2 linked regions of the Cricetulus griseus genome follow. The protein of the gene in region 1 purifies or fractionates together with the protein of each later gene. This does not show direct contact. Links are inferred from orthologs where the notes say so. Each region holds a gene or a part of one and is shown on either strand. Other genes may lie near its edges.

Evidence for each region.
Region 2: the proteins of Klf5 (region 1) and Ep300 purify together in Homo sapiens (affinity purification with western blotting; 3 studies listed by BioGRID). This does not show direct contact. The link is inferred for Cricetulus griseus from reciprocal best matches to the Homo sapiens genes KLF5 and EP300.

Annotation. Positions count from the first base shown.
Region 1 is NW_023276807.1:251,130,327-251,134,242, reverse strand, and holds the start of Klf5 (Krueppel-like factor 5), read right to left. Parts: upstream 2,366-3,916; 5' UTR 2,085-2,365; coding exon 1,848-2,084; intron 907-1,847; exon of another isoform or gene 756-906; intron 1-755. UniProt on the Homo sapiens protein: Transcription factor that binds to GC box promoter elements. Activates the transcription of these genes.
Region 2 is NC_048595.1:378,790,154-378,793,969, reverse strand, and holds part of Ep300 (histone acetyltransferase p300), read right to left. Parts: intron 3,561-3,816; coding exon 3,396-3,560; intron 1,025-3,395; coding exon 863-1,024; intron 1-862. UniProt on the Homo sapiens protein: Functions as a histone acetyltransferase and regulates transcription via chromatin remodeling. Acetylates all four core histones in nucleosomes. Histone acetylation gives an epigenetic tag for transcriptional activation.

The sequences.
Region 1 (3,916 bases):
GAGTATGACCCAAACTGCCCCACTTCTGTTCATACCCATTACATTTAACATGTTTCATTTGAAAACTAAAACCTTTGCAAACCTTAAAAAAATAATATTTATGTGGGTAGAGTTAGGTATCTCAGGCCTAACATGAAATGTTCTCTGGCCATTTCAGTGCCTTTTGATTAACAAAAAAAAAAAAAAAAAAAAATCCAATGTTTGAAGCAAACCCTTGTATCCGCTAAAACAAAACAATTACAGGTTCAACGCTTGATGTAAATGTTGATTTTAACCAGCAGATTCGGTAATTGGTTAATGTAATAATGAAATGTTCCTATTCATTTCCCTATCTAAAACAGATCTTTAATTATCAAGGAGAAAATCATTCCCTTGGTAGACTGGTGCTAGGACGCCCGTGGGTGGGGAGAGGCTGCTCGATTGCCAGCACACTCATCAGCAAAACATTTATCATGTCCTCTCCGTGGGCCAATGCTACATTCCCCCTTCCTCTGTAAAAAGCGCAGTCATCCCTCACCCTACTGCTATCTCCCGAGAGAAAACTGCCAAAGTGAAACAACCAAGTATCCCCCAGGCCCTGATTGTTTAAGAAATAGACAATGCAGCTTCCGACCTGCCTGTCTTCCCAGCAATTCTCTCCCAACATATAAAAGCTTAATTTTTCCTCTCAATTCCTCTTGACATTGAAGAGCAGCTCAGAAAAAGGACAAAACCCAACTAAATGAAATAGTTCACAGAATAAGAAACCACTGCACCTCAGTTGGTAAACAGGAGTCCTATTTTTGCTCCTAAATTTCAAAAGAATTTCATCTCGGACCTCAGATCATTAAGATCTGGTTGTGGACGACGACGGACGGGATTTCCCGGATATGCACGACTTAAAAATAAAGATTCATGCTCTGGCCATGTGAGTCACATCTGACAAATGCCACTGTCCTCTCAAAGCACGACGACACTGGCAGACCCCGCGAAGTAGGTGCTGGGTGCAAATACACAATACGGCAAGAGGCTATTAAACCAAGCCTCTTGAAATAAACCAAACTAAACCCTTTCGTGCACTGCGCTCCCGCGGCGGTTAGTGGTTTCTGATTTTAGCTCTTCCAGCTGTTTGCATGTGGGTCTGTTTCCAATTTTTTTTTTCTTTGGGAGTAGCTAAAAGTCCCGGGAAGTTTTTTTTTTTTTTTTCTTGGGCTATATGACTCCCGTGCGTGGGCGAAAGAAACAGGCGCTTGCTCTAATTCGGCTGCTGGGCAAGTGTAAAAGCCAACTGCCAGCTTTCAACGCGACTCCGGGAGGAAATTTACGCGCACATGAAGAAAACAACACCCGTGGCCTTTTTGTACGCGTGTTCCTTTTTTAGGAAAAAAGCAGTGTTCTAATACAACCTTAGATCTTCTGACCCTAGTTTCCCAAACGGGGCCTTACAGCCCATTCTAGGGTGAGCTACAGGGGTATGGAACCCCAGGACTCCATCTGCAATTTCCACATCCCCGAAGGACGCAGGCAGGTGGACTTCCTAGGCCAGGACCATCCGGAGAGAGTGGTCAAGGTGACGCAATTTAAGTTGAGCGTGGATATAAGCTTTCATTCCCACGCAAGAAAACAGACAAGGTGCGCGTGAGCGCGCGGCTGTGTTCAGCCTCCTCTGGGCAGATCGGGGTGGGCGATGCCCCGGGCCCTCCGCTCCCCCATCCACTCCCCGGCGCCCCGTCTGGAAGCGCAGGGCGGGGCTGCCCACCCGGGCACCGGCTCCCGCGCGTCCCAGCCTGGAGCGGCCCCTGTCGCCCGCGCCTCGCAGTGGCGGGACACGCCCGAGCCGGGGGAGGGAGGCCGGCCGCTCTGCTTACCTGGACCAGCTCCTCCGAGGGCAGCCGCGGGCCGGCGGCCGGCGGCGGCGCGGGCTGCGCAGGCGGGTGGTGGTGCGCGTGTTTGAGATCGTCGCCGGGGAAGAGCGCCGCGTCGCGGGCCGGGTTCGCAGCGCCCAGCACCGGCTTGAGCTGCGCGAACACCGGCTCGTCCTGTGTGGCCGGTGGCTGGGACACGGGTCCCAGGCGGGCGCCCATGGTCAGCACCCGCGTGGCCATGGGCGGTCGGGGGGTCTACGGGCGTGGATCACCGGGTGATCGCGATTCCCACCTCGCCCGGGCTGGCGCCGGACTGCGGACTCGGCGCGGGGCGGCTGCGGGGGGGACCCCTAGGCCGGCGGCCAGCGGCTCACGAAGGCGGGCACGTAGATCGGGACTCCTGGGCTCGGCCACGCGTCACCGCCGAGGTCCTCCAGCCGCCACTTTCTCCCGCCCCGCCCCAGCGCTCGCCGGAACCCTCTCCCGCCACCTCCGAGCTCCACCAAGCAAGCTGCAAGCGCGCGTACCTGCCCCGCGACTACTGACACTTGACGCCCGCCTCTATTTCACCCAACTCCAGGGAGGCAGGACCAGCTCACCCGACTGGCAGCGTCGTGGCCAATAGCAAGGCCCCAGGGCCAGCGGCTAGCCAATGGAAAGGAAGTCCCACGAGGTCCCGCCTCCGACGGGCCGACCGCACCCCTCGCGGGCCATGAGCTTCGCGCGCAGAGCAGGGGCGCAGTTTGTACACAACTTCTCTGACAGATTGGGCCCGCGGAGCTCAGGGCGGAGGGAAAGAGACAGCGGGTGGAATCTAGGAAGAGGGGGATCAGGGTGGAGACGCGAAGGGAGATCTCTCCGAACTGTTCTCTGCCAGGATTAGAGTGGAAAAAAAAAAAGTATCGCACGTCTTAGGTGTTGTGCAAGGACCTGAAAGTCGAAAGCTGAAGACAGAAGGTGGGGGAGCTGAGGTTCCCAGTCTTGTCCAATGAGTGTGTATTTTTAAGTATACAAAATGTACTTTGGAGGAAAACAAGGGGCGGTTCGGTAACAAATGTAAAAGCAGCTCTCATTTCTGTGTTTTCAGCAGTGATCTATCTATCCCTTAGCAGATCCCTTATGGCCTGGCTAAAAGCGTAATGTCAAGCATTTTTTCAAGTCCTTGCATACCAACCTAGGCATATTTCCCCCTACGGTATTTAAGTAGCTACAAGTTTTCACAGATATTTCTACCTTCCGTCGCTGTACGTGAGGAAGAGGTGGGGTTGGCCTTATGAATTATGAAGTTTTTAATATTTAAACCATGTTGATTCTAGCCGGAGCATGGAATCTAATTTAAGAACCAACAGCCAGCTCAACTGGGTATTTAAATACACATTACATCTCTGGCTTATTTTTGCTACCACTGTAGTCTCGGGGCGGGGGGGATGGAGTTTAATATTTTCAGATGAGACACATAGCCCATCTACCTAATACGGTGGCACCATTTCCTACGAAACGGGAACTAAAGCCACAAACATTTACAGATACTCAACAGCTCTGAAAACTGCCAATCCAAATCGGTAGGAACCTAACAGTCAAGTATATTACTACCCATTTACTAGGTTGTTTTAACGGAGGGTGGGTGTTTTTTAATTTTAAAATTTTGCCAGCAATCTCCGAAGGAAACAACGTTCCTTAATCCTTAGTGTTCTTGTACATGACTTTCATGTGGCTTATTGTGAAGCCAGAATAATAAGCTGGGACAAAAATATCTGTAATATTTCAACCTATGTACATATGTTGACAGCACATATTACCTACAGAGAGCACACTGGCCATTTCACAGTGAAGCATCGATTAAAAAGTTCTTAAGGAAAAAAGCACCGCCAAGAGTATCACAGGTAGGAGTCTCCTTTCCAATATACAGGTAAATGAACGTGCACAGAAAGTATCACGTGCATTTTTTTTAAAGCAAAGATAAAATCATACTGTGAACTCAATTTCTTTTCTCCCTTTTCCTTCCTGTTAGTAATGATTCATTTTTATAGTTGTGGTTGCCGCTTTCAGAGGATGGGTGATGACTGCTTTCA
Region 2 (3,816 bases), on another chromosome or scaffold:
TAGACTAGTTTTGGAGGATTGATTGATTGATTGATTCATTCATTCATTTTTGGAGACAGGGTTTCTCTATGGCTTAGGAGGCTGTCCTGGAACTAGCTCTTGTAGATCTTGCTGGTCTTGAACTCACAGAGATCCACCTGCCTCTGCCTCCCTGAGTGCTGGCATCAAAGGCGTGCGTCACCACCTCCAGGCTCAGTTTTGGAGGTTTTAAGGTATAAATTGCAGGATGGTGGTGGCGCATGCCTTTAATCCCAACACTTGGAAGGCAAATGGATCTCTATGAGTTCAAGGCAAGCCTGGTCCACAGAGTGAGTTCCAGGACAACCAGGACTGTTTCACAGGGTTTCCCTGTCTCAAAAAAAAAAAAAAAAAAAAAAAAAGAATCTATATAAATTGGCATAAAGACCTACAATATATTACAGTTGACATTTTGCTTCTGTTATCCCATTGCAAAGATCAAGTCATGAATTTCTAACGCACACCCAGAGCCTGAGGATCTAGCTCCTAGATTAGACAATTTAAATCAAATCAATTACCATTAGCTTTTAAACGTAGTAATTTACTCTCAAAATTGGGCCAGGTTATTAGGAATGTATTCTGATAGTGGTATCTACCAGAATGCAGGACCTTTCTTGTCAGTGGCATGGCTGAGGGGATGGGTATCAGCCATAGTTAACACATTTTCTGTTTCACAACCAACCAAAGTCTATACACACTCCTTTCATTCTAGTCAGCCCTCAAACCACGTCTGCCCTCCTCATATTCAGCAACCTGGAGTTCTCATTATAGTGTCAGTTGGGGTGGGCAATTTAGAATATGGCCTACCACACACACCCTTCTAACCCTGAAGGGCGTCTCTTACCTCTTTATGCTTTTCCATGGTGGCATACAGTTTCTGAGACAGGTCATTAGACACATTGGGCATACCAGGCTTCTTCTTATTGCCCCTACTCAGGCTGCTCTTGTTTTTGCTGGTTTTCTTGTTATTCTTCTTCTTAGCATTTTTGCTATCTCCTTTTGTTACCTGTAGGGCAGCATAAAGGAGATATGAAAATGTTTAATAGTTAGGATGGATCTGGAAATAAGATTGAAGGTAAGAGACTCTTTGAAACAGGTATTACTATTTTAGCTGATATTTCTCTAGCTGATCACATCCACTTTTTTTTTAAACACCCAAACTAATGCTTAACTAGTCTTTTCTTTTTGTGTGTGTGTGTATAGCTGTATGAATGTTTGTGACCAGCCATGTGTAGGTTCCTTATGTATATATATGTAGCTGTATGAATGTGTGTCAACCATGGATAGGCGCTTTCCAAGGCTGTCTGATTACAAAACTGGAGTGATAGACAGTTATGAGCTTTCTGCTGTGGGTGCAGAGAAAAGAATGGACTGGGGGCCTCTGAAAGCGCATCAAGTGCTCAATGAGTACTGAGCCACCTCTCCTAACTGCCTTCTAGTAAAGACCCCAACCTTCATTTAATGGGTAGTGGCAGCACACACCTTTAATCCCAGCACCTGGGAGGCAGAGGCAGGTGGATCTCTGTGAGTTCGAAGCCAGCCTGGTCTACAGAGTAAGTTCCAGGTCAGCCATACCTACAGAGAGAACTGTCCAGAAGCAAAACAAAACATAAATAAATGAAAAGCCTCAATTTGCAGAAGTGCTGACTGATGTGTCCCAGATTTGGGACAGGAGTGAAGAATGAGTGGCACCATGGTTGGTGAACAATGAAAGCCACGAGGCATGGAAGAGGGAACCAGCAAGTAGGCTTTGGTTTCCTCTTTCACCCACCACCTATGAATGAATTTAACCAAAGGTGTGCTCCATTAATCCCAGCACTTGGGAGGCAGAGGAAGGCATTGGGGGGCCAGTCTGGTATACAGAGCGAGTCCAGGGCTAAAAGGAAAAACCCTGTCTGGGGGGTGATTTTTGGTAAATTGACAGGGGGAAAAAAAAGAAACAGGAAACAGAAACTTACATATTGTGAAATTCAGCTTACCTTTAATCTGACCCTCCTGTCTCTACCACCCAAATACCGAGATTACAGGCAGGTAACTGCCATGCTTGGCTTAAGAGCCTCTGTATTATGATAGAGAGACTTAACTTCACCTACGGTGCTTGCGTGTTTGTGTATTTATGTGTGAATACCACAGCACATAGGTGTGGAGGTCAGAGAACAATGCATGGGAGCCAGTTCTCTGCTTCAACAATATAGGTCCAAAGAGTGAACTAGGTAAGGGCCTTTACCCAGAGCCATTTTACCTACTACTTTTCTGGACATGGTTTGCTATGCAGAGGTCTGGCCTTAGAATCCACATAAACCTTTCTGCCTTTGTCTCTTGAATGGTGAACAAAAAGGTCCGTATCACCATGCCCAGCCAGCCCTGACTTGAAAGTTGAAACCCAGAAAACAGCCTAGAAGTGTTCAATAACTGACTAGGGTACGAAACCAAGTTTTTTAAAGGAGACAAGTTAAGACAGTTCCTGGCCTGCTTTTATATGGTTAAGTGAGAATCTTACATTTTAAAAGATGGCTTAAAAAGCAGAGACAGGCTATTTGGATACTGCATCTCAGTGGCAGAGAACCTGTTTAGTATCATGTCAGTCTGGGTGTGATCCCTAGCACTTCTGAAAAAATACACCAGAGAGGATATGCAGTCTATAAAGCCTGCACTAGTCATAATTTGTCTGGTTCGTTTTTTTTTTTTTTTTTTTTAAAGATTTATTTATTATGTGTACAGTGTTCGGCCTGCATATATGCCTGCAGGCCACAAGAGGGCACCAAATCTCATTACAGATGGTTGTGATGGTTGCTGGGAATTGAACTCAGGACCTTTAGAAGAGCAAGCAGTGCTCTTAACCACTATATGATTTTTTTTTTTTTTTTTTTTGGGGGGGGGTTTGACAGGGTTTCTCTGTGGCTTTGGAGGCTGTCCTGGAACTAGCTCTTGTAGACCAGGCTGGTCTTGAACTCACAGAGCCTCTGCCTCCTGAGTGCTGGGATTAAAGGCGTGCGCCACCATCACCCGACCCTGGTTTGGTATTTTTGTTGTATAGTTTTTCAGGAGTTTCAACGTCTAGGTAGGGTCTGCTATACAGCCAAGGTGGGTCATGAACTATGTGGCTCAGGCTGACTTTGCACTTCCTGAGAGTAAAATTTGTGCAAAACACTAAGTTGAAAGTATAAACTCCTAGACCAGCAGTGATGGTGTATGCCTGTCATCCCAGCATCGCAGACCTATAGACCAGGCAAGCCTTGAACCACCTGCCTCTGCCACCCAAGTGCTTTGATTAAAGGCGTGTACCAGTACTACCTGGCCTGAGAAGACCTGTCTTGAAAAAACAAACAAGCAAATTAGACATCAAGGTAGACACTGCAGAGAGAAAGAGCCCTTACATCAGTACTCTCATTGCTAGTGTTTTCTTCCCGTTTTCTCTCTTCCTCTTCCTGTTCAAGTTCTTTAATGCTCTCTTCCAGAACATTGGGCCAGAAATCACCTTCAAAGTAGGGTAACTCCTTTGCACTTGTTAATCGATCTTCAGTAGCTTGTTTTAAAATATCCTGTTAAAAACAAATGAACAAACAAATTAAAAACCCCAAGTAAATTACAAATAGGAATCTCTATGCTTTCTTTTTTCTAAAAGGTTTCATTCTATGGCAAAAATAAAAATGTCCTCCAGGGCACATGTCAGAGAGACATTGAGAACACATTTCAAATGGTACCAACAGGGCTAGAGAGATGGCTCAGGAATTAAGAGCACTGACTCTTGTTCCGGAGGTACTGAGTGGCTCACAACCATCTATAATGAGATCTGGT